Oreochromis niloticus: one gene and its partners. The protein of the gene in region 2 purifies or fractionates together with the protein of the main gene of each other region. This does not show direct contact. Links are inferred from orthologs where the notes say so. Each region holds a gene or a part of one and is shown on either strand. Other genes may lie near its edges.

Region 1 (7,153 bases), on a different chromosome or scaffold from region 2:
GAACACCGCCGTCACTCCTCAAACTTCCCCCCGTTTCTTAACAACTAGATGCCACGTTGCCATATCATTTTTTGATTGGTCGACACGGTACTTTTTTTGACCAATAGGAAAGGGTGGGGGGTTTTTTGGTTTTGTTTTTGCTCACAGGCGGAGAGTGCTTTCGAGCGTTTTCCTTATAAAACGCCATTTTTACCGTTTCTTCCCGCAGTAAATATAAATAACGATAGTATTCAGGAAGAAAACCAAACATTGCATATATTTTTATCATAACTCTGGTTTTACATGGCCTATCAACACAATTTAAAAACTGGTATAAAGTCCACACTTTTCCCGTCAGTTGTTCCGTCTGTCCTGCTCACATCTCCAATGGTTGGACACGTTGTCATTAACGGTGATGGGAATAACGCCGTTACTTTTTTCAGTAACGAGTAATCTAACTAATTACTATTCCTATCGTTACAACGCCGTTACCGTTACTAACAAGAAAATGCGGTCCGTTACTATTTTTCAACAAACAGATGGTTGAAGCTGTGTTCAGCTTACCGCATCTTATATCAGTTGCACGGAAGTAGCTGTAAGTAATCTGGACGCTACAGCTTTAAGCAGCTGTGCGCGCTCCCGCGGACGGTAATCACGATCACTGTCTAGCACAACACCTGGAGCTAAGGGGGCAAAACAATGGCATGAGTGCTGCTGTTTGACTGAGGAAGAATAAAGTAGTCGTGGTAAGCCAATCACATGACCACTTAAAGACAAAGCAACAAGGTGATATATACCAGTTTATAAATTGTGTTGATAGGCCACGTAAAACCAGAGTCATGATAAAAAAAAGATATACGCAGCGTTTTTTTCCTGAATAGTTTCGCCACGTTAGCGCTCTCTGCTTATGAGCAAAAAAACAAAACAGGGGAAGTTTTAGGAGTGACGGAGGGAGAGAGAGAGAGAGAGACAGCAGAAAAAGAGAGAGTGCGAGTTTTGAGATGTGAGAGATTTGTGATGTTTAGCGTGTTTGGAGTGTGTAGTTAATGTGTTGTCTTGTGTAGTTAGTGTGTAGTGTTGTGGATAGTTTTGTGTTGTGTGTCAGAACAATGAGGCGACTGCTGTCTCCAGGTAGAAACAGGAGTGATACACCTGCTGCTGTCAGACCTGCAGGTATCAGGCTGTGATGTTCTCCTTTATAGTGGACAGAAATTATTTTTTTGGAGTGGCACAAACAATTTGTGTGGCATCTTATTGAATGCACATCAGCCACGCCGCTTTGCTAGCTAAAACACCGGTGTCGGCACATAAGGACGCTGTCATAGCCTGTTAGTGACGTTGATTGGCTGCGTATATACGAATGTGAATCGCATTATTGGCTGGACTAAAGGATAAGGTGGCATCGTTCTAATCCCATACAGGAGCAGCCAGTCACTCACTGACTAACACTGCAAAACAGAATTGTTAAAGTTTTAATTTTAATTTCAATTCAGGTTAGATTTTTTTTTGTGCGCAACGCAGATTTTCTGTGCGCAGAGACCGTGCCAGCAGTGCGCAATTGCGCACGTGCGCAGCTTAGAGGGAACATTGGTTTCCACACCACTGAAGTCGTTTTACCTCTCTTTTCAGCCAACGGCATTCTTTCTTCAGCAGCCATTATCCTCTCCTCTCCAAATAACTTCTGCTTAGCTTTCCGAGCTTCCCTCGGATCCTCTTGTGACGCGTGTTCGAAACGCAGAGAGGTGCGCTCGATTTGCCACACGGAGCAGCGCGAGAGTAAAGCACGAGGGAGGTGCTAATAATCGGCTCAGTCATTTTTAATGATCGTTGAAAACCCAGATCGTAATCGAGATTAAAATTCGATTAATTGAGCAGCCCTAGACAGTAAGTTTGTAAGTTTGACACCCCTGGTTTAGAGGCACTGAAATAATCAGGTGACACTGCTTTCTCCACTAAGCTTCTTCATTGTCACTTGGTTATTGTTAGTGGATTAGGGGATTAGAAAAACCAGAGGGCTATAATATTGTTCATGTTAGGATCAACCTAATTAGATCGTTATGGTTACTTAAGTTGGATACCTACGCTGGTTAGAGTTCAAAGTTTGGGATTTGTATGGATTCTTAAAGGCAACGCACTTTCATAAATTTACCTGGTGACATTCTGTCTGAAATGTATATATTCTTAGCTGAGATTAGTCAGGTTCTTAAGTATTTGAACAATGATAATTTTTGGAATTACATTCTGAACACTAGAGTACTAAAAATGGAGACCATGTATAAAAATGGCCGTATTCCATAACAGTTAAGTCAATATTTTTGTTAAAGCCCTTGAATTAAAGCTGAGTGCTTGCACGTCTTCAATCACGCCTGTGTTCCTTGATTTAAAGGGACCACGGTGATGTACAGACAAAAATCACCCCAAAAAACCCCAGGTCCATACGTTTTTCGAAAATGTCATACATTCTGAATATCATATAGTGATGCCATGGTTTCTGCTTTCGCTAAGATCAGATTGATGGATCCTTACTTTGCAATGCTGATGCTAAACATTATTTTTTATTGACTGCATTTTTTAGGACAAGCATTGGTTTCTCATATCAGCATTTTTTGTCTGTCAAAGTATGCACATTCACAACAACTGAAAATAAAAAAGGCGATAAATAGAGGCAGGATTTGAATGAGAGAAAAATAGAGAATTACTGTAAATTTAGAAGGGTTCCATCCAAAGTCTAAGGAAAATGGAAACACAGCGGTCCTTTGGACTCCAAATAAGGTCATTTCTACCTGTGAAAATCTGTTGTAGCCTTGAGCTGCACCTATCTGTATACTATTGCTCTGCCATGATACAGTTACACAGAAAAAATGAGAGAAAAGGAAACTAATATATAAATTTAAAGTAAACAGCTTATTTGATCTTGTTCTGGTTACTTTTATTTTCTGTTTCTGCTAAGTAACCTGGTCACTTGAATGCATATTATGACTGCAGATAGTTCAGAGTCTTGTGAATGTTTTTTTTCTTCTTCTTCTCCTCATCACTCACATTGCCATCTGTAGTGATGTGGTTGAAATTGTGTGATATGGTCTAATTTACTTGCCTTATTAAACGCAAAGAGTTCCTGTTTTAGCCGATCCCTCTGGGACTCTTGACCATGCCGCCTGAACCTCTTCATCCTGTCAATACCGGCGTGCAGCCAGAAGGCCCGTTGACACTTGGTGGCTGGAGGAGACACAGGAGATAGAGGTAGATGATCCAGCTCGAAAGTAAAAGTTTGAGAGAGGAGAAAAGAGGGCATGTTCAAAGATAAATCCTCTAGTTCACACCTTTGTTATTCCTTAGTGAAAAGCAAATACAGGGAGTGTAGAATTATTAGGCAAGTTGTATTTTTGAGGAATAATTTTATTATTGAACAACAACCATGTTCTCAATGAACCCAAAAAACTCATTAATATCAAAGCTGAATGTTTTTGGAAGTAGTTTTTAGTTTGTTTTTAGTTTTAGCTATTTTAGGGGGATATCTGTGTGTGCAGGTGACTATTACTGTGCATAATTATTAGGCAACTTAACAAAAAACAAATATATACCCATTGCAATTATTTATTTTTACCAGTGAAACCAATATAACATCTCCACATTCACAAATATACATTTCTGACATTCAAAAACAAAACAAAAACAAATCAGCGACCAATATAGCCACCTTTCTTTGCAAGGACACTCAAAAGCCTGCCATCCATGGATTCTGTCAGTGTTTTGATCTGTTCACCATCAACATTGCGTGCAGCAGCAACCACAGCCTCCCAGACACTGTTCAGAGAGGTGTACTGTTTTCCCTCCTTGTAAATCTCACATTTGATGATGGACCACAGGTTCTCAATGGGGTTCAGATCAGGTGAACAAGGAGGCCATGTCATTAGTTTTTCTTCTTTTATACCCTTTCTTGCCAGCCACGCTGTGGAGTACTTGGACGCGTGTGATGGAGCATTGTCCTGCATGAAAATCATGTTTTTCTTGAAGGATGCAGACTTCTTCCTGTACCACTGCTTGAAGAAGGTGTCTTCCAGAAACTGGCAGTAGGACTGGGAGTTGAGCTTGACTCCATCCTCAACCCGAAAAGGCCCCACAAGCTCATCTTTGATGATACCAGCCCAAACCAGTACTCCACCTCCACCTTGCTGGCGTCTGAGTCGGACTGGAGCTCTCTGCCCTTTACCAATCCAGCCACAGGCCCATCCATCTGGCCCATCAAGACTCACTCTCATTTCATCAGTCCATAAAACCTTAGAAAAATCAGTCTTGAGATATTTCTTGGCCCAGTCTTGACGTTTCAGCTTGTGTGTCTTGTTCAGTGGTGGTCGTCTTTCAGCCTTTCTTACCTTGGCCATGTCTCTGAGTATTGCACACCTTGTGCTTTTGGGCACTCCAGTGATGTTGCAGCTCTGAAATATGGCCAAACTGGTGGCAAGTGGCATCTTGGCAGCTGCACGCTTGACTTTTCTCAGTTCATGGGCAGTTATTTTGCGCCTTGGTTTTTCCACACACTTCTTGCGACCCTGTTGACTATTTTGAATGAAACGCTTGATTGTTCGATGATCACGCTTCAGAAGCTTTGCAATTTTAAGACTGCTGCATCCCTCTGCAAGATATCTCACTATTTTTGACTTTTCTGAGCCTGTCAAGTCCTTCTTTTGACCCATTTTGCCAAAGGAAAGGAAGTTGCCTAATAATTATGCACACCTGATATAGGGTGTTGATGTCATTAGACCACACCCCTTCTCATTACAGAGATGCACATCACCTAATACGCTTAATTGGTAGTAGGCTTTCGAGCCTATACAGCTTGGAGTAAGACAACATGCATGAAGAGGATGATGTGGACAAAATACTCATTTGCCTAATAATTCTGCACTCCCTGTATTGATATCCTACTATTTAACACAATCAAAACCTGTCTTCTTCCATAAGCATGTTCTCCAGCCACAATTCAGAGATGAATCACACCATCAGATACATGGCTTTATTAATCAGTCCAGTTGCCTTCCAAAAAGTACAGTGTCTCTCATGTTTTTTCTTGCACCAATACACAAGTAGCAGTATAAGGGTTACTAGGAGGAAAAAGGGTTACTAGCAGTACCAAAACATTAGCTTCACTAATGTCTATAGAAACCTTCCATCCATCCATTCGCTTCCGCTTATCTTTTTCAGGGTCGCGGGGGGCGCTGGAGCCTATCCCAGCTGTCATAGGGCAAGAGGCGGGGTACACCCTGGACAGGTCGCCAGTCTGTCGCAGGGCCAACACACAGGGACAGACAACCATTCACACTCACATTCACTCGCACATTCACACCTAGTGACAATTTCGATTATCCAATTAACCTATCCCCTCAAACTATAGAAACTCTATAGAAACCTGTTAAACAAAATACACGAGACCTGGGTGTCATAAGGCCCCTGGCTACATATTTGGTTGTCTGTGACTACCCTGCTTGAAGTCACTGGGAAATTAGGATTCAAATGTAAATGTATTCATCATTTGTCCCACTTCAGCCATCAAACATTCTTCTCCATCTGAGATTTTCTGTGAAATCATAATACAACTGCTATTTAATGTAGATGCTGTGTGTTAGAAGTGGTTTTTCACACAAACTTTCCTGCTAACTTCTGCCTACACAATTCGGTCAAGAAAAAAAAGCAAAAAGCACGAGATTATCAAAACTCCGTTAAGGCTTCAAAATGTAAACAAAGCTAAAAGACACTGACTTAATTGATAAGTCTTCCTTTATTTCAGCATAGTGAAAATGTACTGCATTTTGTGGTCATATATGGTTTCTCTGTCACCATTTGCTAGGCTAGGTAGAGCACATACTGCCAAAACAAGACGACAACAAGAAACAAGAAAACAATCCTTCTGCTGGGGGATTTTAATTTCCATGTCGATGACAGTTCATGCCATGCCGCTCCTGACTTTCTTAATCTCTTAGACCCAAAATATGACTGGGCCAACACACAGTTGTGGCCACACCCTGGATCTCATTCTGTCACTGGGTCTGGATATCGGACCAGTCCGTCATGAGGACATTTTTATTAGCCATCAACAATATCTTTTCTTTAATCTCTCCTTTATCTATGACACTATGCCCTCTGTTAATGTGAAGCATTCACATCTAATTACTGACTCTGTGGTGGAAGAATTTGTGGAATTGTTTGATAATAATCTAATCTACCTGAAATGGATGATATGAAATGGCATGTGGCCTCCTGCAATTCACAATGTCTAAAAATTCTAGATAAAGTAGCTCCTCTTAAAATCAGAAAAGGCAGCTCTGTTAAATCCCGCCCTGGATCACAGGGCCACTTATTTCTCCAAACTACTCGCAGTAGGAAAAAGAAATCCTAAGGTTCTCTTCGATTCAATGAATAGCAACGTCTCTCCTCCAACTCCGTGCACACCAGTCTTCTCAGATATGGATTGCAATGACTTTTTAAGCTTTTCCAAGATAAGATCAGTGAGGTAAGAGGAAATATAACCCCCTTAAATAGCCTCTTCAACCATGATCTCCCACAAACCATAATTATGGAATCTTTTCACCCACTTTCTTTAAATATCTATCTGAAATACTAACTCAAATGAAACCCTCAACGAGTCCAGCAGATGTCTTACCTACTTCTCTGTTTCTTAAAGTTTTTGACACCATTGGGCTCTCTGTGGTCACATTGATAAATTGTTCCCCGCTATCTGGCTCTGTCCACAGGTGCTTTAAACAGGGGGTTATTCAACCTCTGCTGAAAAAGCCTAACCTGGATCCGACACTACAGACAAGCTACAGACCCATCTCAAAACTTCCTTTCATTTCTAAAATATTAGAAAAAGCCATTTGGTCACAAGTAAAGAAGACACTGGAGAAGCATAATGTTCTTGATAACTTTCAATCACGTTTTAGAAAGTTACACTCCACAGAAACAGCTCTCCTTAAAGTCACAAATTACCTTTCGATGGCCGCGGACAGACGCGATTGCTCAGTCCTTGTTCTACTAGACCAGGGGTCGGCAACCTGCGACCCCTGGTCTAGTAGAACTAAAGAGCATGCGGCTCTTTAGTCCTTATACTGTGGCTCCACGTGGTTTGGGCAAATAAATTAGAAGTATTTAGCTGAAGTGTATTTTATTTATGTTAGTT
Region 2 (7,946 bases):
AGTCAATTTTAGAAAAAAATCGAGGTTCCGGCGAGATTGGCAGAAAAATCTTGAATGTGGGGATGGGGTAACGGTCATTCTCCGTGGCATTATATAAACGGCGGAAATCTCCGCATGGCCGCCACCGACCGTCCGATTTGGGCACCATGTGAAGCGGAGAGGCCCATGCGCTGTTCGAGCGCTGTACAATGCCAAGGCGCTCCATGGCTGCAAACTCTTCCCAAGTGACGGAAAGTTTCGCGGGGTCGAGGCGGCGCGCGCGCGCGAACACCGGGGGCCCGACCGTGGGAATATAATGCTCAACCCCGTGCTTCATTACCGTGCTAGAGAAATTAGTGGCTGTGGCTACAATGTAGCTTGCCATCACCAGTGTGTGAATGCGTGTGTGAATGTGTGTGTGAATGGGTGGATGACTGGATGTGTAAAGCGCTTTGGGGTCCTTAGGGACTAGTAAAGCGCTATACAAATACAGGCCATTTACCATTAGGGACAGACAGCGATTATTTATTTTATTTTATTTATTTTTTAGTGTCATTTTGGCAGCATTTGGGGCATTTTCAGGCCGTATGCTTTAACAAACTCCTCCTCCAGATGTAATTTGATCAACATGATCTTTGGTGAGTTCAATCTAAAGATCCTGCAAAGCTTTTGAGTTTTCGTTGAAGAGCCCGTCTGTGACGTGACCTCCAGTCATCCACGGACACAAAACGGTCACACCGCAAACATGTCCAGTTTGTCCCACACGGAGAACCACACATGTGTTTCAGTATCAGGTTACACTCAGGCTTCATCAGATATACATGAGATTTTCACTGTGGACTCGATACCAGATGTGACATACAGTAACATGACGTGTAATCTCCGTGTTCTGTCATGGTGACGGTACACGGACTGGTTCTTACGTTGTGCTGCTTCCACGATAATAAACTTGCCTCGTTCATACAAACACTGTTCCTGTGTGATGAGGTGATTTCGATCCTACAGCATCGTTAGATTCCACAGTGTAAGATGACTAATCAGCCCACTTCCACTGCACATGTGCCCCATCATCAACACAAACGTTGACTTTACGCGAGGGTGAAAAATATTCTCGAAGCTTCCTCTGAAGTCATTTTTCACGCACCCCACAGAGTGGGTTAAACACAGGTGCCACAGGTACTAAAGCCCCTCTGACTCAGGAGCTCCAAGAAGGCCAGGCTACGTGCTGAATAGCTGTTCGTGTCCATTCCACAGGTGCTTCCCACTTACCCACGGAGCGTTACTTACCCGCAGTAGTGCGCTTTAATCTTCACAAACTCCGAGTTCAGGTCCATTATGGATCCGTTTGACGCTAGCATATGCATCGTACAGTGTGGATCAGCTCCTCCGTGTCTACGTGAACAGGCCCACGCTCGCTGTGTGATACGTGGATAGAAAGCGGTTTCCACTCGCCGATAACAGAGGACCTCTACGCCCAGTGCGCTGAAAACAAACCCGAGCGGAGCCGCTTCAAACTTTCTGTCGTTAAGGTAACATTAGAGACTTTGGGGAAGTTTGTAAGGTGGCGTGAATAACGGTGGTGTTTCCGGCCCCGGCTTTCAGAATAAAAGCTGTCGCGCAAGGTTTACAGTAGCGCTCTTATTTTGAAACGGAAAACTCTTCACCTGTCATCGGTCGAGCTCGGAGTGTAGTCACGCTTGACGGGCTTTCTTTCGGCTCACTATGGTTACCGTAATCTAAAATCACCTGTTCACCTACCGGGGCTTCCCGGCTGTCCCGGCAAACAGCGTGCTAATAATCTGAAAGGACACGGACAGTGTGCGGTCGGGTTCATGACTCCTGTTCGCTTTTTATGCAGTTTTATCCTCATAGAAATGATCCTGTAATATTGTAACTAATACTCTAATATGTTCTTATCATCTCCCAGCGTTACAGCAGGTTTCTACGATATATTAAAATAAACAATCGCATTAAATGTATGCGTTCATTAACACTGTGGTCAATATCACGCGACCCGTGTACACACCAGGTAAGGACAACCTCTGTACACCGGCAAACAGAAAAAACCCGACATCAGCATAACCAGTCATGTTAAGATGGTGTTAAGCGCCCCCTGGTGGTTAATTGGCAAAAATGTTATAATGCATGAAGTGTGTAAAGTGACACTCGTGGTCAGCCTAAAGAGTGACCTGCTGTAATGGTCGGTCCTGAGCCCAGAGGGGAAGCTGTTGTGTTTGTGCATCAAAAACCAGAACAGATGGTCCTTCTGGAGAGGCTGAAAGGCAGGACACTGCCCCTGCTCACCGGGAGGAGCCCGCTCAGACCGGTCAGCCGTCTGAATTAGGATACCGCTTCAACACCTCCCAGATAAGGAGGGCAGACTGGGCCAAACCCAGGACACGCTGGGGAGATTGTTTCGTGGCTAGTTTAGGGACACCTCGATGTCCCCCAGAAGAGCTGGAGGCTGCAGCTGAGGAGAGAGACATCCGGGCACCCAGACCAGCAGTGAACAATAGATGGAGGATTCACGAGTTATTAATCATGTAGTTCACTGTTTCACAGTTAGCTCCATAATTATTTGGATAAAGTAACAACTCTGGTAGTTTTGCCAGCCTATGGCATCAGAGTGATCAGAGAAATGAAAATCCAAACCTGTGAGGAGTGAGAAGCTGAGGTTGCAGCTCCAGAGAGGTTGACTATGAAGATGTTCACCCTGAGTTAATTGCATGGGTCAGTAATTTACTACTAATAATAATAATTAGTGAGGTCTGACACCAGGATTCACTGCCTGGACAGTTAACTAAAGAGCAGTTGGCCCTGGCCCACATCCAGATCTTTACTGCTTTTAGAAAATCAAATTATTAGCTGATAGATGACAGTAATCAGATATTACCTGATGGAGACTAAAGAGACGTAACAATTCTTAAAGATAAAGATATGAACAAAACTGATGAGATATAACAGGGTCAATATGAGCTTTGGTGAGTTCAATCTACAGATGAGGATATTATGTGATATTAGTCAAACACAGGACAACGGACTTTGTTGATTTTCAGTGAAAAAGATATTGTTTGATTTTTAGTTGTATTCAAAATGCTGTTTAATGCACTTACTGACTGAGGTCCTCGGGTCTCTTGGCACCTCTGGGGTCTTCAGACACATCTCCCAGACTTGCTCTGTGTGGTTCTCTTTGAGTTTCACTCCAGTTGCTGACACACTGTGATCAGTTTGTATCAAACCTGCTTTGTGAGAATCGTTTCTTTTTCTCCCGTCTGTTTCTTTTGTAGTTTGAACTTGATTGACGTGCTTTGAACATTAAAGCACATCATTGCTCAGCAGCAGTTTCATTGTGCCATAGCTCAAAAGAGGTCAACTTTTATTGACCCCGATCATTTTTGGTTTTTGTGTGTAAATAGAAATAATTTCTCCTTCTAAGGAAAACTAGTATTTTTATAAATGTCATGTTGCTGCACTAAAGATTAAATGTCATTTCATTTCTTCACTTTGATCCTCTTGTAGCCTCTGACCTGAGCGATCAGTATGAATACAAATTGGAGATAAAGTATCTGAATTTCAGGAGCGGGACCACACCTCCAAACACGCCCCCTCCGGTTCTCATCTATATACTTTCCCCCAGTTCTACAAGCTGTTTGTTCTCGCCCTTAAATGAGGATGTGGGCCCAGTGAGTGAATGGTCCATATAGATGACAGTACACATGAAAACACTGATGAGTCCCAAACACACAAAAACATGTTGTTTTTCATGTATTTTATTTAGTGAAGGATACTGTTACTGCAGGATCTTTAATCCTCTCAAGCACCTACAGATTCTGCAAAAGATCAAACACACACAATCAGATGTGGTTGGCTGTTCACTGTAACAGTTACACTTCAAGTGAAGAATGAAGCTAAATAAAGCAGCCTGTTATTGTTGACATCACAGGTGGATCACTGAGCACCTGTTTGGCTCTGCTGCTGGTTTTTCTTCCCCTTGTGTCATGTACCGTTCACATACTCTTCATCCTTTGAGCTACTTACTCAGACAGTTGTAAGTCAGCTCCAGGTATTTATACATATGAGGACAGGTGTCGCCAAGCATTCCACTGCTTGCTCTCATAGAACAGGTGCGTTTCCCATTACACCTGTGGATGCAGAGCAGCACAGAGCAGATGAAACACTTAAAGGTAGGGAGTAAAGATCCCCAGCTGACAAAGCAAATTAAAGACACGTTTGTTTGTTGTTTATCTCATACTAGACGATGTGTAGGAATGATGTACAACACTAATTACATAAATCCAAATGAATACTGCTGATTAATAACACTGATCAAACCCAGGCTATAACCCCTGGCTGTGTGGGGACAGCAAACGCTGTGAACACAAAGTTGTTCACAAAGTGATGGTTGCACGTCCCAGCTCACCCAAATCATACTTTCAGCTCTGCTAGCTTCAGAAATATGTGTCGTTGGCTACAAGATGAGAGGAGAGTGCCAAAGACCAAAGACTTCATAGTCATGTTTAAGATCTCGTTGGTCACTCAAAGTAAAATATCACATTAATGTTAAAGCTGTACCTTTCAGCAACTTTGCCAGTGGGGTTTGAACACTTGATGTTTTCCATGTGTGAGGCCTCCCGTCTGACAGAGCATATGTGTGGATCACGGCGCCCAAAATCAGCATGGTAGACGTGGATGACATGGCCCTGGTCTGTCAAAGAAAGCAGTGCGTGCTGTTGAAAACTGAAGAAGGGTGCTTGGAGAGGCAGTTATCAGCACACGTTAAAGTTTGTCGGGTCACACGTGATCTTACCGCACTGCAGTTCGACCATAGACTGCTCGCAGATTATCAGGTGAACTGCCAAAGTAACATCAGTCAGATTAGGTGGAGCACTCGGGTCAGATTAGGTGGAGCACTCGGGTCAGATTAGGTGGAGCACTCGGAGCTTGAGTGAAGCTTTACTGTTTAAAGCAGGTGTGTGACTCACTTGCTGGTATACAGGTGTAGGTGGTCTGGATATATTTAAAGGTGTCATTGCAGGGATCTCTTGCAAAGATGGCCGGGGTTACTTCACACACCTTCTTGCCATCACAGCTGAACAGATAATAAAAAGTAGAGTCAGCAGTGAAGCACCATGGGAAATCCCACCTAAGCTGAGAAGAACAGTCTTTCATTGGGTTCTACATGATTATGGGGTTTTTGTAAGGTAAAAGGAATTCCCCACAAACTTCATCAAAGTTAATAAGTTAAATCATCTGTTTTGTCTCAGGCAAAAGGCCCACAGTCCCAGCTTTGCACTGGATCTGGTAACCTGGCATTTCTTACTCCACGATCACTATCCATGAAAGAAGGCACTCTGATTCTTTTATACTCATTTTTCAAAAAGCATTCTCGTCTTTAACATGATCTCTCACATCACTGAAGTTTCACACTATACATACAATACACAGCACATTTCATCCCCTGTTATTCTACAGGACCATATCTATATGTGGTGATCAGCAGCAGTGACATTCATTAATAACAAATACTGGTGTCTTATTGGGACGTATACCTGGTCCTGATGATGTCTTCAGCGCCCTCCAGAGAGCACGCAGTATTGATGGCCACCTCTTCAGCTTTCTCTCCACTGCACGTGTCCCGGTCTCTACGTCCATACATGGACTCCTGGACACGAATCACTCCGGTTTCTGTTGGACGTCACAGAGGCAGGTATTCAAACACAACGACGGAGCTTACCAACCAGGAACGTCTGCAGCTGCCGTCAGACTCACAGAGTCTTATTTTACTCACTTGCTGCTTTGTATGTTTCCCCAACCCAAATGTCATTCCTGTCTTACACACTCTGTATTCATAGAACCAAATCAAGGATCCCTTAAAGAAACAGGCGTGTTTTCCAAATCTTAGTGATGATTATATTACACTAATGTGTGTCACTTATTTATTTTTGAAGCAATGGCCGACTTGTTGTGTGGAGGTTCCTCCAGGCGGTGAATGACGGTGTGACGTATGTTTGCTGAAACACTTCACAGGTTTTAAAATCCACCCGTCCATTCTCTCCTGCCTATCCTCAGAGTGGGGGGGTAATGCACCACCGTGTGTGGCTCCTGGCTCTATACGACTACTGTGGCACTCTGTATGGACACTTTTTCTAAGGCAGCTGAAAAGATGTGAAAATGACCTATTTGAATAAAAACTGCAGGAATAGGACACTGTGGTGTAAACCTTCTGTTGGATATCAGCATGTGGAGTTTTGTATTCATGGTTTAAAGTCGGTCCTGAGTGTTTCTGCTCTCGTGATACCTCACTGTGTGTCTATGACGTGATTCGTGTTCGATGATCATCCCCAATAAATAAATAACAACATGTTTGTGTTAATAATGTGGTAGAAACACTGCAGCGCTGAGAAACATGAGCAGTGGTTGGGTCTTACCACAGCTCAGACGGTGGACGTGGTTCCCACACGTGATGACTCTCTGCGCACCTTTAAAGCACACATGGAGCTATTAGTCTAACACACATATTAAATCTAAGCACACTGAGAAACAATCAGACTAGCAGACACTTACCTGTGCTAACAAGCAGACAGGCTGCTGCCAACACTGAAAAACAAAGAAGCAGCACTCTGAATTTATAATGTGGCCAAATATGAAAACGTGACACTTTACCCTGAAATATATGAACCGAAGAAATCTTCTTCGGCTAGAAAACAACATGAATGAAAAAATGCTGACTCTACTCACAGAGCGTGCTGCTGAGGCGGAGCATGGTTTCAGAGGACTCAGTGAGACTGATGCTTGCAGCAGAAACACTCAGCATTTATAGGTTTGAGTCCGTCTGCAATCTCGTCTTATCGTGCTAAACAAACCTTACCCTCAGACTTTTGTTCAGCTGGATACGTGCCCAAACATGTGGCCAGATGCTCGCCCAGTGAAGGATTTGACATGATTATACATACAGTACATACAAAAATATACAGTTTATATACATATACTGTTTCATGGAAATGCTTGGATCAAACATGCTCCAATGAATTTTTGAAGTGATCAACAATAACGGTGGAGCTCTTTACTGAGTTCACGTTTGGACCTTTGATTTCCTTTTGGGGGGGTTACAGGGTTTTTGGAGGTGTGGTCCAGTAAAACAGCCTGTTTCAGTTTAAACGTTGTTTTCAATAAAGTGCACGCTCAGCAAAATGTTTTGTCTCAGTAACATTCCTTCTCGTTGCATGTTCAAGCTCGACCTGGAACCTTGTTAAGATCCAACCATGCAAAACAGGATCTTGTCATTTTTCATGTGGTCTCAAACTTTTCTGTATGTGGTCGAGGACCCAGGCCTGAAGGATAGAGCGACAAGTCTGTGTAAGTTATGACACTTGGCTCACTGTAACTTCAAAAAGTCATTTATTTCAGAACTGAAACTGCGTAATAAACTCACATGTTATCTTCTGATTTATTAACATTAGAATGTTTCACAGAGCTCAGGGTGTTCATGAGCTCAAAAACACAGCAAGCATCCCACCTGAGTCACTTTCCCCGCTGATGCTAACATCAGTCAGTTCCCTTTTTGCTGATGGGCTCCATAAAATACTGTTTCCACTAAAGAAGCCGTGTTTTTATTTAAGGCCAACAGCTAAACTACTCTTTATGCTGTTTGATTGTCTCCACAAAGTGAATTAGACCAAGTAGAAAAATGGATATCTACCTCAGTTTTATTGAATTGTATTTATTTATGCTTTTTTTATTTGATCTATTTGTACAGAGAAAGACTTTTATTGCACAGAGAAATGCAATGAAACGTGACAATAAACGCTTTGAATCTTGAATCTTTTGGAGGACACATGGTTTCAGTGAATCGGGAAATACTGAACTGGCTGACATACAATTTACAAAATGAAAAAAGACAAACCTGTAGATTTTCAAAATGTAAGTGTGCAGGTTTATTTCTGTTATCTGTGTGCTTCTGTTTCTGT
Region 3 (7,621 bases), on a different chromosome or scaffold from region 2:
CCAGTGTTTTTTTGACAGCTATAGGGATGCATTTAGATGTGTAAAAATATTTGTTTGGCTTGTGACCCTTTGAAAAAAGTTGAGCCCTCCCACCGCGATCCTAAATTGAACAGCACAGATAAGAGGTGCTTTTTGTTGCGTCAGTTCTCCTAACAGTGCACACGATGTGACTCTCAGACAGCGGCCTGGAGGTGTTGGCAGTGCAGCGCGTTTCCAAAGCGCAGGCGTGGCAGCGAGCAGGCCGGGCTGGCAGGGAGGACTCTGGCTTCTGCTATCGTCTCTACACCGAGCAGGAATTTGACAACCTCATCCCGATGACTGTTCCTGAGATTCAGAGGTAGGCTGTGGAGTCTGCTTTACACGTGTGATAGTAAAAATCCACCTTACATGTCTCATTGAGTCAGCTCTGTGTGATGCTTCTTACCCTCAGGTGTAACTTGGCAGGTGTGATGCTGCAGCTCATGGCTCTGGGGATTCCAGACGTGACAAATTTTGATTTCATGTCCAAACCTTCTCCAGGTAAGATGCTGTCAGTCAGGATTTACCTCTGGTCCTCCGGTACGCGATGCAGAGTTAGCTGTAGTAGTGCTTTGTATTTTACACCAGAGGCCATCCGTTCTGCTGTGGATCATTTGGAGCTGTTGGGAGCTGTGGAAAAGAAGGACGGGCAGGTTTTCCTCACCACTCTGGGAAAGAAGATGGCGAGCTTCCCTCTGGAGCCCAGATATGCCAAAGTAAATCCTGCTGGTTCTGCTCTGATCTTTTTTTTTTTAGCAAAGACAAAGTGTCGGCTCACAAGCAGATAACCCCTCTGTTTGCTCCACACCGCAGACCATCCTGCTGTCCCCGGACTACTCGTGTTCTGAGGAGATTTTGAGCATCGTGTCGCTGCTGTCTGTGGACACCGTGCTGTACAACCCTCCGGCCCGGCGGGACGACGTGCTTGCAGTGCGCAAGAAGTTCATGTCCAGTGAAGGAGACCACATGACACTGCTAAACATTTACAGAGCGTTCAAGAAAGTCAGCGGTAACAAGGTGGGTACGATGAACACAACTAATGAAAATACATAAATGAAATCATGCTGCTGAGCTGTCACGTGATCTCTGCTGTTGTAGGAGTGGTGTCGGGAGAACTTTGTCAACAGCAGGAACATGGGTCTAGTGAAAGAAGTCCAGGCACAACTTAAAGAAATCTGCCTTAAGGTACACATCTGCTAACCTCTGCTAGCACAGAGGGATTCTCCCAGGAATCGCTGATTATCCTGATCAACTACAGAGGATTTATTAACATTTAATGCAGCTCATTAGAGAATAATATCCATGCTTTTGAAAGTAAAGTGAACACAATGTGTAAATTCTGACAGTGTCAGTATTATTATGAATGTGCATCATCACACAGGCTAACGCCTCAGGGCTATTTTGAAAACAGCGAGTGCCGGTTGATGAATGAGTGTTTTCCTGCTTTGATCGATGCTGCACACCTGTCTTTGTGCATCTCTGCGGTGAACTCATGCGACCTGTGTACTAAGTCACGTCTTGTTGTTTTCCCAGCTGAACCTGAAACTGGAATCGTGTGGAGCAGACACGGCGAGCGTTCGCCGCTGCCTTGCCCACGGGATGTTTGTCAACGCTGCAGAGCTGCAGCCCGATGGCAGCTACTTGGCTCTAGACACCCACCAGCCCGTGGCCATCCACCCGTCCTCCGTCCTTTTCCAGGCCAAGCCGGCATACGTAGTCTTCAACGAGCTGCTGCACACCTCCCGCTGCTACATGAGAGACCTCTGTTTGGTCGATGCCGACTGGCTGCTGGATGCAGCGCCCGAGTACTTTGGCCGCAAGCTCCACCTCAACAAGAGCTAACCAACAAAGAAACAGGCCACCTGCCACAAACACACTTATTGCAAGTTGGTGCAGAACGTTTGCTGTGTCGTAAACTACTCTGGATTTCACTACCTCCCAGTTGACAAGCATTGGGCATCTGTCACTGAAGCAGAAGTCTGCATATCGAAGTTTGACTTCCTCTGGACTGTCATTCCGATTTTACGAGCTGTAATTTCTTCTTGTCATCATTTAGCCACACGGTTGGCCTGAAAAGCCAGTTTGCTTTGAAGTGTCTTGCTTTGATTCTTTCAGTAGTTGCATGCATTTATACAGCACAGGTAACCTCAGAGGAGCACAGCATGGGGCTGTTTTCCACCATGTTGTTCTTCTTCATTGCTACCAAATAGCCATCAAAACGCTCCAGCAGACGGATTAGTGGCTGCGAGTCCAAAATATGAGCTTTTCCGAAGCTAAGAAAAGCACTCTGATTGTTTTGGGTTTACATGAAGTGGTCTTACAGGGGTTTCTTTATGCAATCAAAGTAGATTTGTTTTACTCTACTTTCAGCTGTTCCCTTATTCACAAGAAAACATGAAAAACAAATGCAGTGTGTCACACTGACATGGTTTCACTTATACAGCACTAGCCTCGTTAGCTCGTGCATGCTCCTTTTCCCATCTGCAGTCATGTCACCGTCTCTTCCCCAAATACACGCACGTCAGGAGAAGTAGCATGCCTTCCTCTCCAGGTTCTGCTCATTGCTGTTTGTCGCGCAGATCCCCACACAGTTGCCAGACGTACCTGCTAACAGCAGACATGTGCAGTGCACGGAGAATCTGTTCAGCGATCTGATCACTCGGCTCCGTCACGCTTTGTAGAATGTAAATGACGTTGTGTTGATGATGGAGCGTCCTCTTGTCTTTTTTTTACACATTGGACTCAGGACTGTAAAATATAACCTGAATAAAGTATACAGTTTCTAACTTTGTAGTCAAACGCTGAATGCTTTAGAGAATTATCAAAAGTTGAGCCATTTCTGATCTGCATGAAGTTTATTGTAACGAATGCACGCCTGCCAGGGCTCATCTATGAGCGTGGATCATCTGATCCTAATACATGCCCATGTTTGTTACATATTCTAATAAAAACAAATCCACCTGAGTCGGCACAAGTCAGTCGCAGTTCTAACGTGTTTAGTATTATTGTGTTATGGCCATAGCATGGTTTAAGGACTGTGCGAAAGTCTTGAGCCACCTCATTTTTAAAAACATTTTGCTTCCAAGTAGATGACCTTTGGAATTCTTTAAGAGCTTTGGAGCAATAGTTCTCCAGACTAAGCTCTTCTTCTTTGGATGCTGGATGCTTTTTCACTCATTTTCAGTCCTGAACATTTTCAAAGGAACATTCTGGGTTTTTAAAAAAAATTATCATTCAAGTCTCTTAACACAGCCAGCACTTTGCATAACTCCGGGGGAGAAGCCAGTGTTGTCTACACATACAACATGTCATATCTTTAGGCGCTATGTTACTATATCATTTGCTCCCATTTCTTTATTTGAATCAACGGAAAATGCCAAAACTGACATTTCCGCCAGGGGCTCTTGTGTTATGATGGAGTTATGATTTTGACCCACCATACTATCTGAAGAGCAGTTTGTTTGTTATTTAGCATGATATTGGTCACAAACACTCTACCAATGCAGTAAAAGTAGACCTGGACAGAAAAGCACGCAACTGGACGACTCTTCCTGAAGACTACTCAAAGAAATGACAAGACTTGTCTAAGAGAGTTTAGGCTGTGCTGAAGAATAAAAGTGTTCATACCAAATATTTCAGACTTTCAAGCTCATTAGAATTGCTCAAACTCTGTTTTTGCCTCATGTATTTGCGTTTATGTTTCAATGAATCAATGGACTTATTTCCCATTTTAGTAGCAAAACAGAAATGAGAAGTGTCTCAAAACGTTTGACTATGTTCATTTAGTCAATTCAGAAAAACAGGATCTCCCCTGCTGCCGTTTAATTATAGACAGGCTCACATAGACTGGAAAGCAGCTCCATCTGCTGGCGGGAGGGATTCACATGATGCAACTGATCAGCCTCATTGCACCGAAGTGTCGATGTTTTACTTTGACTGATGCAACCCCGTCGTTAGGGGCCTCAGTCGATCATGTCTGTACACACACACACGCTCTGAAAATACAGTACAAATGCACTACGGTACACCAATCAAAAGAAACCCCTCCAAGCTTTTCAGTAAAAGAACTGAGGCTGGGATTTTTTATTAAATCCTGACAGTTTTTAAGCCAAAACGGGGTTTAACTCTGGAGCAAAGTCCTATTAAATCGGGCCCCTGCACACAGATATTTTTGCACTTTAATCTCCTTACATATGTATTTTTAAGAGTTTCTGTTTTAGTGTCACAGCGTGAAGGCAAAGGTATTATTAAAGTCCGCGGTGTTTCAGATTTGTAGCCACACTGTAAAAAGCTCCGCAGAACAAACGACATGAAAAACCCCAATTTAAACAGATAGCAGCGCCGGTCTGCTATCGCTGATTTGAACTACAGGGGGCGCTGATGTGTAGACAATCATTTACAACACACACGTAATTTTTCCAAATAACTTTAATTAGGTTATATCTTATTTATTTTTTCTATTATAATATTTTGTCGTATTCGGTGTAGTTTTTGATGTAGAATTTAAAATTGCTATTTCGTGTCTTTCGCTTTTAGAGTATTACTTCCGGGGCAAAGAGTATCTGGGTCAATGTGTCCTTCCACACGTGCTGTCAGCGTCTTCTAGAAGCAGCGTCGGTAACCGGTGTTCACAGTGAGCTGTGCGGCACGGAACTCATTTATTCTGTCGTGACAGGTGTTTTTGTACAATCATGCTAAAGTCAGTCGTCCGTGCGGTGGGAGCAGCTGCTCGCCTTTCTTCAGCCAGCACCTCCGCAGCGCGAGTTCTGCCCCTCAGCTACCCGGCACTGCGCTCTCCGAGTTCGGCAGTAACTCGGCCCTTCACCCGGTCTCTCTGGATGCTAAATAATAACGGAGCCTCGTCTGGATACAGGCCCAAACTCTTCAGCTCCAAGGTGTTGAGTCCGTCGATGTCGTGTGGATGTGGAGGACTGCACACAGAAGGTGACGTTTGGTGTAAACTCCTTTAAACAAGCCAGCCAGCTTACGAGACCAATAAACTTAACATTAGATGGATCAGACAACTCGTATTGCCAGAACCAACACGTCCTTTACAGTTTAAAGGGATAAAAAAAGATGTTTAACGATCGTTATAGACTGAGTTCATATCAGCATCTTCAGACTGTAAGGAGTCTTTCACCTTAAACTGTGATTAGTGGTTGTCACTGAAAAAGGCTCTGAAACCTGCCAATAGCCTTTGATCATTCAGCACACGTGACACGTCTAGGACTGTTCATAATATCCAACGAGACATCTTTAGACAGCCACAAAACAGATTTCTTTCATTTTCAGCAGTCTTACAAGTATTGGTAAATGGCCTGTATTTATATAGCGCTTTACTAGTCCCTAAGGACCCCAAAGCGCTTTACATATCCAGTCATCCACCCATTCACACACACATTCACACACTGGTGATGGCAAGCTACACTGTAGCCACAGCCACCCTGGGGCGCACTGACAAGCACTCGTGTTTTGTGTAAAATGTTAGAATCAGCCTTGTTTTTCATTTTATTGTCAGAAGTAAACCTTTAAACAAACTGTGCATCACGTCTCATGATGAAATCATAAACTCTCTGTTCAGGTGACAAAGCTTTTGGTGACTTCCTGTCTGATGAAATCAAAGAAGAGAAGAAGATCCAGAAAAACAAAAGTCTTCCTAAGGTGTCGGGAGGATGGGAGCTGGAGATGAATGGCACAGAGGCTAAACTCACAAGAAGTGTTTCTGGAGAAAAGTAAGTCTGCCAAAATGATTGGATAAACGTGGCCGGTGTGGCATGTGAAACAAGCTCACGGTATTTCTGCTCTTCACAGAATCGCGGTCACATTCAACATCAACAACAGCATTCCTCCCAACTTTGAGGAAGAAGTGGAACAGACACAGCAGAAATCAGCAGAAGAGGAGGTGAGGCACAGCTAGTGGTTGGAAGACACTATTCAAGCATAACCAAAGACACCTAGGAAAGATATCCCTCAAGGGACGAATCAGTGTTGTCTACACATAACAGACAATTTAGAAAAGAACTTAAAATTGTATCTTTAAGCTCTTTGTTGCTAGCAGCCTGTCACAAAAACATTTATTCACATTTCTTTAGTAGAAACTGTGAAAAATACGCCAACGATGGTTGGACACAGTTTGACAGGTTAAACATTGTACTTTGATTCCCAAAGAGCTGTCATTGCAGCACGTTGTGCAACATGGCCTTTTAAGAAAATCTGAGGAAACTGGACAAAAAGTGGTAGGCCTAAACCAGGGGTGTCCAACTCCAGGCCTCGAGGGCTGGTGTCCTGCAGGTGTTAGATATCATCCTGCATCAAATGATTAGTTCATTACCAGGCCTCTGGAGAACTTCAAGACATGTTGAGGAGGTCATTTAGCCATTTAAATCAGCTGTGATGGATCACTGGCTCTCGAGGCCTGGAGTTGGACACCCCTGCCCTAAACTATCTACAGCAGATGAAGAGTATCTGAAAGCTGAATCCTTAAGAAATGGATGAAAAAATAGAGCAAAGATTTGACAGAGAACACAAGAGATGTTCATTTATCTACTGTGACTGAGACCTCATCAGAAATGTTCTCAGTGAAAGGCTGCCTCTCAAGAAGCCATTGATCGTTGGTGAGGAATCTAAATGTGAAGGTTTCCTTTCAAATCATAGTATGTACAGAAAAGGTCAGGAGAGGGAAAACAGAGGCTACGACCATCTGCAAAGCACAGTGGAGGCTGCATTTTGTTAGTCCAAGAGATGGAAAACATCTCTGTTAGCGTGCTTGTCAAACGCGATAAAAGCTGAGTTGAAGAATAAAGACGAAATATTGACTTTCAGACTCGTTAGAACTGCATGAACTCTTAAGTTTGTCTTATACACTGTTTTCATATTTGTTTACTGTTTTCTTATATGTCTGCACTCATTTCAATAAACGGCTCCTCCATTTGCTAATTTCCTAACAACACTTAAAGAAACGAGGGTGGCTTGCACAGCACCGTAGGCGGCTACTGGCTTACACACTGAAGTTTTTAACCTCAACATTTTGTGTATTAAGCTTTTTACCCCTTTTTTGCAGCCGGAGATTGTATCAACACCCAACTTTGTTGTTGAAGTGACAAAGCAGGCTGCAAAACATTCCCTGGTGTTCGACTGCCATTTCCCTGAAGATGAGGTAAAGTCAAATAAAACGAATGTCTAATATTGCCGATAGCAGCAGTAGTGTGCGCAATAGTGAAATGAATATGAGGCATTTGTATTTCGTAGATAAGCCACGGTGAGGGAGAAGAGGAGAGCGACATCTTTGCCATTCGAGAGGTCAGTTTTCAGCCACAGGGAGATTCAGAGTGGAAGGAGACGAGCTACACACTCAACACAGACTCTTTGGACTGGGTGAGAGCCGAGGCAGTACACACAGCAACAGCTCAATTATAACGGTCACTGAAAGTGGCGCTGTGCTCAAGGTTGCTTACTTACTGGTACTGTTTCTCAGGCCCTGTATGACCATCTGATGGACTTCCTGGCTGACCGTGGGGTCGACAACACCTTCGCCGATGAACTCATGGAGCTGAGCACGGCCATCGAGCATCAAGAGTACATCAAGTTCCTGGAAGACCTCCAA
Region 4 (7,437 bases), on a different chromosome or scaffold from region 2:
GAGATGTGGTGCAGAATATGCCGTGAAAATCCCACTCTAGCGGACAAAAACAGTGCCTTTTATATGTACGCAAACGCGCGTTGCAACTTCTTATCTGGTGCGCGTCTTTTATTTTGACAGCAAATGTGCACATGCTGACCACTTATGTGCACCCCTGGTTATTTGGCATACGATTATTAAAAAGGGAGTGCACCTAAAGGCCATGTTTGCTTCTGCTTAACAAATTATTTAGACATTTTTTTTGGTTTAAAGAAAGTAATCACATAACAAAAATGCCTGCTCAAATGTTCAACTGCGCCCAAAGACACTCAAAAGCTACTTTTGGGGGCTTCCTTAATCACAAAAAGGTCACCGCAGCGACCAGTTGCATGCGTTTGACTTGGGAGATTTTTTTTTTTTCCCTCCTGTTGCAACCAAAGAAGCGATTTGCGTCTCCGTCTGCAATTGAACCGGCATCTTTCTCCTATCAGAGGTAGTTTCGAGTCATACAAAAACTCCACGTACTGAGAGAGAACTCCATGTTTAATAAAGTGGCTGTAGGAACCAACAGTAACTATTACAACTTTACAGTAACTACGTAGAGGAAATGAAAACCTGTTTGTCACGGCACAAGTTTACACAACTATATAAAAACAAAACAAATGTGAATGCGAGGATGATTCGAGTCTGTAAATAAGTCGTTTGGCTTTGGATATTTCTTGTTTCTTTATTGTTATGGAAACATATCTGTATCTAATGAGAAGGCAGGAAGCCTGTATAAATTTTAGTGTGTATTTTTTTGTTTTGTTCGCGTTTACATGAGAAGGTAAGTCTTGTTGAGTGTTACACAATTTATGAGTCCCAAACCTCATCAATGGGTCTTGTTTATGTTTTATAACTTTTATTTCATTTCATATTCTGTGTATTACTTAAAAATTTAACTACTGTTACTCATTAAAGTAAAGTATTAGGTTACATTTACAGCACGCTTTTAGTGCCAGTGTTGGCAGTCAGGAAAATCTCATTCTACAGGAAAGAAAGAGCAAGATAACTTTATCTTATTGGATAAAACAAACACTGACAAAGTTTAACTTTGAGGACATAATCTGCAGTTTGAAAATGATGATAGATTGCATTACATATTACTGCAACACTCAGAACATTGCAAAATGTTTAAAACTGCAATAATATTGTAATGCGACCAAAGTATTGTGAGGATATCGTATCTTTATTTACTACTAAATGATGAACTGAATTACGTGTAGCTGATCCTGCTCCTCTGTGCCTTCAGAGGCCCAGACTGTGGCAGAGCTATGTAACAGATAAGATTTCCCTTTACAGGTATTCAAATGTCCTCAACTGTCAGTGTGCTTTAAAAGACCCACAACAGTCACTTTCTCTCCAAATCATCAGCTTTCTTTCATCAACACGCTTAATTTCTTCACTGAGGGAGATGAGGGAACATGAGGGAACATGAGGGAAGGGTGTTAGAGCTCCCAACACACCCCAAACGGATCAAAACAAAACACAACCTGACGAAGTAGAACAAAATGTGAAACTGCTTAAAGTGACGTGACGGAGAGGGATGAGTCACATCTGATCCAAAAGTGGAAACGTGTGACGTCGTGGCATGACGGTGTGCCGTGGTGACGCCGTGGACCTGTCTGTTCTAGCCACAGAGCTCCTGGCGTGCCAGTCCCACCCACAAACAATCTGCGGCAGCCACGGAGTGACCACTCCTGTCTCTGTGGAACAAACCCTGCAGCAAAAAAAAGGCAAAACAACAAAAAGAACAAAAAACCCACCTACACACACACAAACACTACTCCCCTTTTTTGGCCGTTTCTGTGTAAGTACATGCTCACCCACCTGTCACCATCAGAGCATCTGTGCTCCATCTGTCCACCACCCCACTGAAACTGGGCGGCCAAAAGGTGGAAACAACTCAGGAGTGAATGAGTCACCTTTTGCACCACTTGCCCATCTCTCCCTTTAACCCTCAGGTGTGAACACATGCGAATACTCACAAATAAATAAATCAGAAACACTGGATTAGAATGCAGGTCACCAGCAATCATTGTGGGGTTCACAAGTGATGAGTGTCAGCTGGTAGTTCTTCACAGAGCCCACACAAACTGTCACTTGTGTAATAAAAAAACAAAACAAAAATAAAACTCTTCCTCTACAGTATAAACTTAAATAAGAACCGCATAGCTCATGTGGATGTATTGTGTACGTGTTGAGATGAAAAGCTTCATAAATCAGGGCACTCCATTGAGACATAACACTTGAAATCTTGGCAATCCACTTGATGTTTGTGTGTCCATTAGTCTGTCAGCGTTTAAAAAAATGATCCAAAACAAAGAGCTAGGCTGATACTGTGTAGCAAGACAAAAACTCAGTGCAACTAATGCAACGTCTGATTTTAACAGGTGGAAACTTTGTTGCTGTAGGAAATCTGGAGAACTAGGTGCTTCAAAAACAACCCCGTTACCCACCTACCCAGCCCCCCTCCATCAACCACCCACAGCAGCATCGGGATAGAAAAAGTCAAATCAGCACAATCTGGATCGGAAGTAAGAAGCAAACAATCACTGCAAATGAGAGAAACATCCAGAACCTGTAACTTTCCCCGCACAACTCACGGGGAAAAAAGCGGAAATAGTTATGTGGCGTAGGCTGCACACCGTCCGACCAACTCCGGCTCCGTGACGGGACAGCCATGTGAACATTTATCATTATTATTATTATTTTAATCCCCCCGAATCCTATCCACCAACGCCACCACCAAGCAGGGCTTTCAAGTTTCCACTCACCTTGCTTTTCACTTCCACAGCGTTGCAGTTAGGATTTCGCAGAGGTTGCGACTTATTAAAGCTCCGATTCATTTTTTTCCCGTTTGAAGGAAAAAAAAAAAAAGAAAAAAAAAAGTTCAGCCGCCTTTGCCCACAGAGAGAGGGGCTCTGGTCCCGGGCTTTCTGCTCTAAAAAATTCTCCCTGTTCGCTTCTTCCACAGAACTTGGTGTTTCTTTCACCTCCCCGACTTCTTTTTTCTTTTCTCAGTGCGCTCCGACAGACATGAGGGAGGACTTCACGAGAGAGCAGGAGGTGTGCGACTCGCCGCGTTGACTTGAGGAGTGTGAGTTAAGTTTTGAAAATGACATCAGCCCTCTTAAAAAAAACGGGATTCTGGGATGCATTCACGTACCGCACGAAATCCCCAACTCCCTCAGGCGGGATCTCTTTGTATCCTTACTGTAGTCAGTAAAGGCTGAGTAAATAACAGCTACTACTGATGATGGATTAAGGTTTAAGAATGTATGCTATCGCAAAACAAACAAACAAAACACACACAAATATTTATAACAATGACAACTTGATATGTATTATGTCCTGTTAATAAAATGATCATATTAAATCAGCCGTGTTTAGTCGTCTTTTGATGCATATGAAGCAAAAATGAAGCAAAAATAATTAAACTAAAATATATATTTTTTTTAAATCTCAAAAGTAGGCAGACTTCCTCTAACCCCGCCCTGTCCAATTTATAGCCTAATATATTCAGAGTAAAAAAAAAAAGAGTGGTCTTTCCGGTTAGTTGGTGTATTTCCAGGATCTGTGAAGGCAGCACTGCGCACGCTGGACCTCCGAGACACCAGAGGACGCGATTTTCTAAGCATTTTTAAAAACGGTCTGTATTTAAATGATTGAATTCATTGATCCCAACAAGGTGGTGTAAGCCTACAAACCCTGTGGTGTGGAACATATATCTTTTAATATAAAAAAATCCCCCAACAACAACATAAATTGGGTTTAAGAGTTCAGTTTACAATCATTACCTCTGTAAGTGAAGGTGAAGCGTGAGCCACTGGGAACTCAAACACATAAAAACACCATAGTGTGAAGAAAACAGCCACATATCTTTATATTTAACCATCTGCTGTAGCCTGCTCAACTTTTCAGATACATAACAGGTGAAGATTTACTTGTATTTTTACATTGTCTTCATAATATGGAGTTAAATGTGGCCTATGATACCATTAAGTCTTATTTTTGTGATCTTTTACAGACCATAAAACCATCTTTTTATCCAGGTTACACAGGATTTGTAACAAGACCTGCCACCCAACTTGGGTGGCCAAGAGGAAGCTATTCTTCTGTCAGCAGAGAGCTTCAAAGTGCACCAGGTAAACATCTCTAATTGGCCCTGGAACGTGATAATCTCACACCCCCTCCTTTGTGAGGTATAGGCATCCAGAGCCATTCAACCTGAACCAAAAACCTCACAGCGTAAGAACCAGCTGATCGGGAATATTCATTTTCAGCTGGGTTAATTAGCATCCATGACCGCAATCCTGCTTGACAGCATTCCTGGGCCCCTGAAGCTGGCTGTGCACAACAGCTGCAGGCTGCATGCCCCCCCGTCCACACACACACACACACACACACACACACACACACACACACACACACACCCTCTCAGTAGCTGAAAGTGCTGCTGGTTTACTCTCTTCAGGAATGTGTTGACTGCTTACAAACAGAACCCAAACCCAGGTTTCACTGCGATCCTGCAGCACAGACACTGCAGTGCTCCTTATGTGACTGCATGCAGGGATAGTTACGCTGTAGTAGATTTAGTGTGTAAATGTTTATCAACTGTAGTCAGAACTACATCTGATGGGTGCCCGCAATCAAGTTAGGACTTATTAGCATGAAAAAGAAGAGACGGTGATTTTTGTGTGTTTCTGCAACATCTGATGCTCGTCATATTTGCTGGTAGTTAATAATTAATGAAATATTGTAAGGTGAATGAGGTGGTGCTCTATATAACTAGCGTTAAGAAAACGAGTAGTTAAGCTTATTGCGCCCACTAACGGCCGATGTGTGGTATTGTTTTAATGACTTTAACAGTGCAACAGTTACAGCGTGACTTAGTCAGTGTGCTTTAGTAAATTCAAAAATCTGCATATGTTTTAACTGAATTATGGTGGAAAAATACTGACCTTCCTCTACATAAAGTTAAATCTTTTACATTTTTCACCATCTGGGCCTGAATCATCACAGGTGATTGCCATAAACCTACCATAAGGAAAGATGGATAGATGTTTTTGTTGTGTGTCAATCAGAAGAATTAATTCCAATGTTCCCTGGTTGCCAAAACTTGGAAGAACGTCCATCCATTTCCATAATTAGCATCTGAATCAGAATACTTTAATAACCTCAGAGGAAATTATGTGGTCACAGTTGATCCAATAGGAACTAACTAAACTAAATAGAATAATACAATATATTACAGAATATAACAAAATCGCTCTAATAAATACAAATAGCTCTAATCATAAATATCCCTGTATATTACACGAAATTACATATATATGGGTGACACTGAGGTGCCCCTTTTGTTATATTAATTGTAACTTTTCTTTGTAGAGGATGTGATATTAAGGGTGTGCAACTATTGCAGTGTGTACTTGTGTAGATGGAGGAGTTGTACAGAGTGATGGCCATAGGAAGAAATGACTTCCTGTGTCATTCAGTGGTGCATTTGGGTAACGCGCTCCTGTGACTGACCAACACATCATGGAGTCGATGAGAGTTTATTGTCCAGTATTGTATCTATCTTGGACAACAACCACCTCTCTGACACCACCTTGAGTCCAGCTCCATCCCTACAATGCTACTGGTCTTACGGATCAATTTATTGAGTCTGTTGTCATCCACGACACTCAACCTGCTGCTCCGGCATGCAACCGCTGGTGTCCTAGGGAAAAAAGCAGAGCACATCTTGGTCAGGTTGCTGATCTGCTGCAGGGCGCTTGGAAGAACGATCTAACACGAGTAAAAATGACACGGTCTGAAGGTTTAGGGATGTTGTCTTGCCACGAACTATTGTGGATGCTGTCAGTGAAGGTAGGTTTTCAGTTTTTCTGTTTGTCATCAACATTACACAAAAAGTAAATGTCATGAAACTTCATTGAGCAGTAGTGGAGCATGGGCAAAGGAAGATCTCACTAAATTTTAGTGTTGGCCCACATTGCCTCTTTAAAACTGCAGTATAGTGTATTGGCGTTGGCAGGGGAACCCCCTTTTAGTTTTCTGTGCAACTAAAGTATCTTGGCTTGAAGATATTTATTTTCTTCTTGTCTCAAAAGCCAGGCAATCAATTAGGAGAGAAAGAGACAAAGGGGGATGCACATCTACTTTAATCAGCTATCTTGCAGCAAAGCCATTTACATGATTTTTCTTTTTCTGTAGATGGTGGGGCAACATCCAGACTTTCTTTTAAATATAAAACTTTATGCAACATCAAAGAGAATGAATGGGTTTTTTTAAAACATAGATTTTCATCTCACATCTTCAATGATTTTACAAGAATACTGTATTTGTCATCAAGGAAACAAAACAAAGCCATAACTCATAAAGAAGCTTCAATCACTAGTATGTTCTTTGAAATGGAAGTTATAAGGCTTTCATGATCAATGAGGATTACAAGGCAAACATATAAATTTACTCTGGACGTGAATAAAAATAAAATAAAACCACATCAAAGGCGCTGACTACACACAAGTAATCAATCAGCTCGATACAGACAAAACCAACTAGGATGTTGGCTGAGCAAAGCCATCCAATACTCTATTCAGAATGAGTCTAAATCTATTATAGTTATCTCAAAACACGACAAGGGGGTCTGCCACTGCTTTGGGACTGATCAGCAGTGAGATGAGTCTATATACCAACAAACAGCAGTGTCCAGAGGCCCCGAGCCACCCCTTATTTCTTGATATTTTGCTGGAAAAATAGGAAATATGTGCCGTGATTTATTTAAACAAGTGTACATGGAAATATAGTGTATAAGTGGAAAACAGACTTTGTATTCTAACAAGCTTGGAAGTCAATATTTGGTATTCCCAACTTTATTCTTCACCACAGCCTGAACTTTTTTTGACAGGCTTTCTAGTAATTTCTTTAATAAATCTCCAGGAATAGTTATCCAGGCTTCTTGAAGGACATTCAAAGTTCTTCTTTGGATTTTGGGTGTCATCTGTTATGTCTCTTGTCAAGATGATCCCACACTGCTTCAATAATGTTGAGCTCTGGGGAGGCCAATCCATGGTTGATAGTGTTGTATTGTGTGTTTTTCTATCCAGGTGTGTTTTTATGGCATTGGCAGTGTGTTTTGGATCATTGTCATGCTGAAAAATGAAACTGTTACCAACCAGACACTTGAAATGCAGCACCAAATGATGACAGAGCCTCCACCATGTTTTAGAGATGGTTGCAGACCTCTCTCCTGACGTCCTTGATACATAATGACAATGATTTGAATCAAAAATATAAAATTTGGATTAATTATTCCGTAAGACCTGTTGCCACTGATTAACAGAACGCAGTTCATCTCACTGATTCATGTCAGTGATAAGTGGCTTGGAATGTTTTGGAAGCAAAATAGAAAGAAAA

The links.
Region 1: the proteins of prkcz (region 2) and llgl2 purify together in Homo sapiens (affinity purification with mass spectrometry; 7 studies listed by BioGRID and IntAct, counting the BioPlex papers as one, with this or other methods). This does not show direct contact. The link is inferred for Oreochromis niloticus from reciprocal best matches to the Homo sapiens genes PRKCZ and LLGL2.
Region 3: the proteins of prkcz (region 2) and c1qbp purify together in Homo sapiens (affinity purification with mass spectrometry; 5 studies listed by BioGRID and IntAct, with this or other methods). This does not show direct contact. The link is inferred for Oreochromis niloticus from reciprocal best matches to the Homo sapiens genes PRKCZ and C1QBP.
Region 4: the proteins of prkcz (region 2) and pard6gb purify together in Homo sapiens (affinity purification with mass spectrometry; 6 studies listed by BioGRID and IntAct, counting the BioPlex papers as one, with this or other methods). This does not show direct contact. The link is inferred for Oreochromis niloticus from reciprocal best matches to the Homo sapiens genes PRKCZ and PARD6G.

What each region holds. Positions count from the first base shown.
Region 1 is NC_031973.2:27,096,540-27,103,692, forward strand, and holds the start of llgl2 (LLGL scribble cell polarity complex component 2), read right to left. Parts: upstream 3,149-7,153; coding exon 3,074-3,148; intron 1-3,073. UniProt on the Homo sapiens protein: Part of a complex with GPSM2/LGN, PRKCI/aPKC and PARD6B/Par-6, which may ensure the correct organization and orientation of bipolar spindles for normal cell division.
Region 2 is NC_031984.2:33,854,937-33,862,882, reverse strand, and holds the start of prkcz (protein kinase C zeta type), read right to left. Parts: upstream 3,063-7,946; 5' UTR 1,344-3,062; coding exon 1,267-1,343; intron 1-1,266. Other genes in the region: L-rhamnose-binding lectin SML, read right to left, coding at 3,793-3,809, 4,018-4,121, 4,552-4,684, 4,787-4,831, 4,962-5,068, 5,529-5,664, 6,408-6,458, 6,544-6,576 and 1 more. UniProt on the Homo sapiens protein: Calcium- and diacylglycerol-independent serine/threonine-protein kinase that functions in phosphatidylinositol 3-kinase (PI3K) pathway and mitogen-activated protein (MAP) kinase cascade, and is involved in NF-kappa-B activation, mitogenic signaling, cell proliferation, cell polarity, inflammatory response and maintenance of long-term potentiation (LTP).
Region 3 is NC_031975.2:990,671-998,291, reverse strand, and holds the start of c1qbp (complement component 1 Q subcomponent-binding protein, mitochondrial), read left to right. Parts: upstream 1-4,562; 5' UTR 4,563-4,709; coding exon 4,710-4,962; intron 4,963-5,599; coding exon 5,600-5,750; intron 5,751-5,829; coding exon 5,830-5,920; intron 5,921-7,078; coding exon 7,079-7,174; intron 7,175-7,266; coding exon 7,267-7,392; intron 7,393-7,492; coding exon 7,493-7,621. Other genes in the region: ATP-dependent RNA helicase DHX33, read left to right, coding at 178-337, 431-519, 607-734, 832-1,035, 1,117-1,203, 1,552-1,860.
Region 4 is NC_031985.2:20,080,734-20,088,170, forward strand, and holds the start of pard6gb (par-6 family cell polarity regulator gamma b), read right to left. Parts: upstream 3,149-7,437; 5' UTR 2,868-3,148; coding exon 2,796-2,867; intron 1-2,795. UniProt on the Homo sapiens protein: Adapter protein involved in asymmetrical cell division and cell polarization processes. May play a role in the formation of epithelial tight junctions. The PARD6-PARD3 complex links GTP-bound Rho small GTPases to atypical protein kinase C proteins.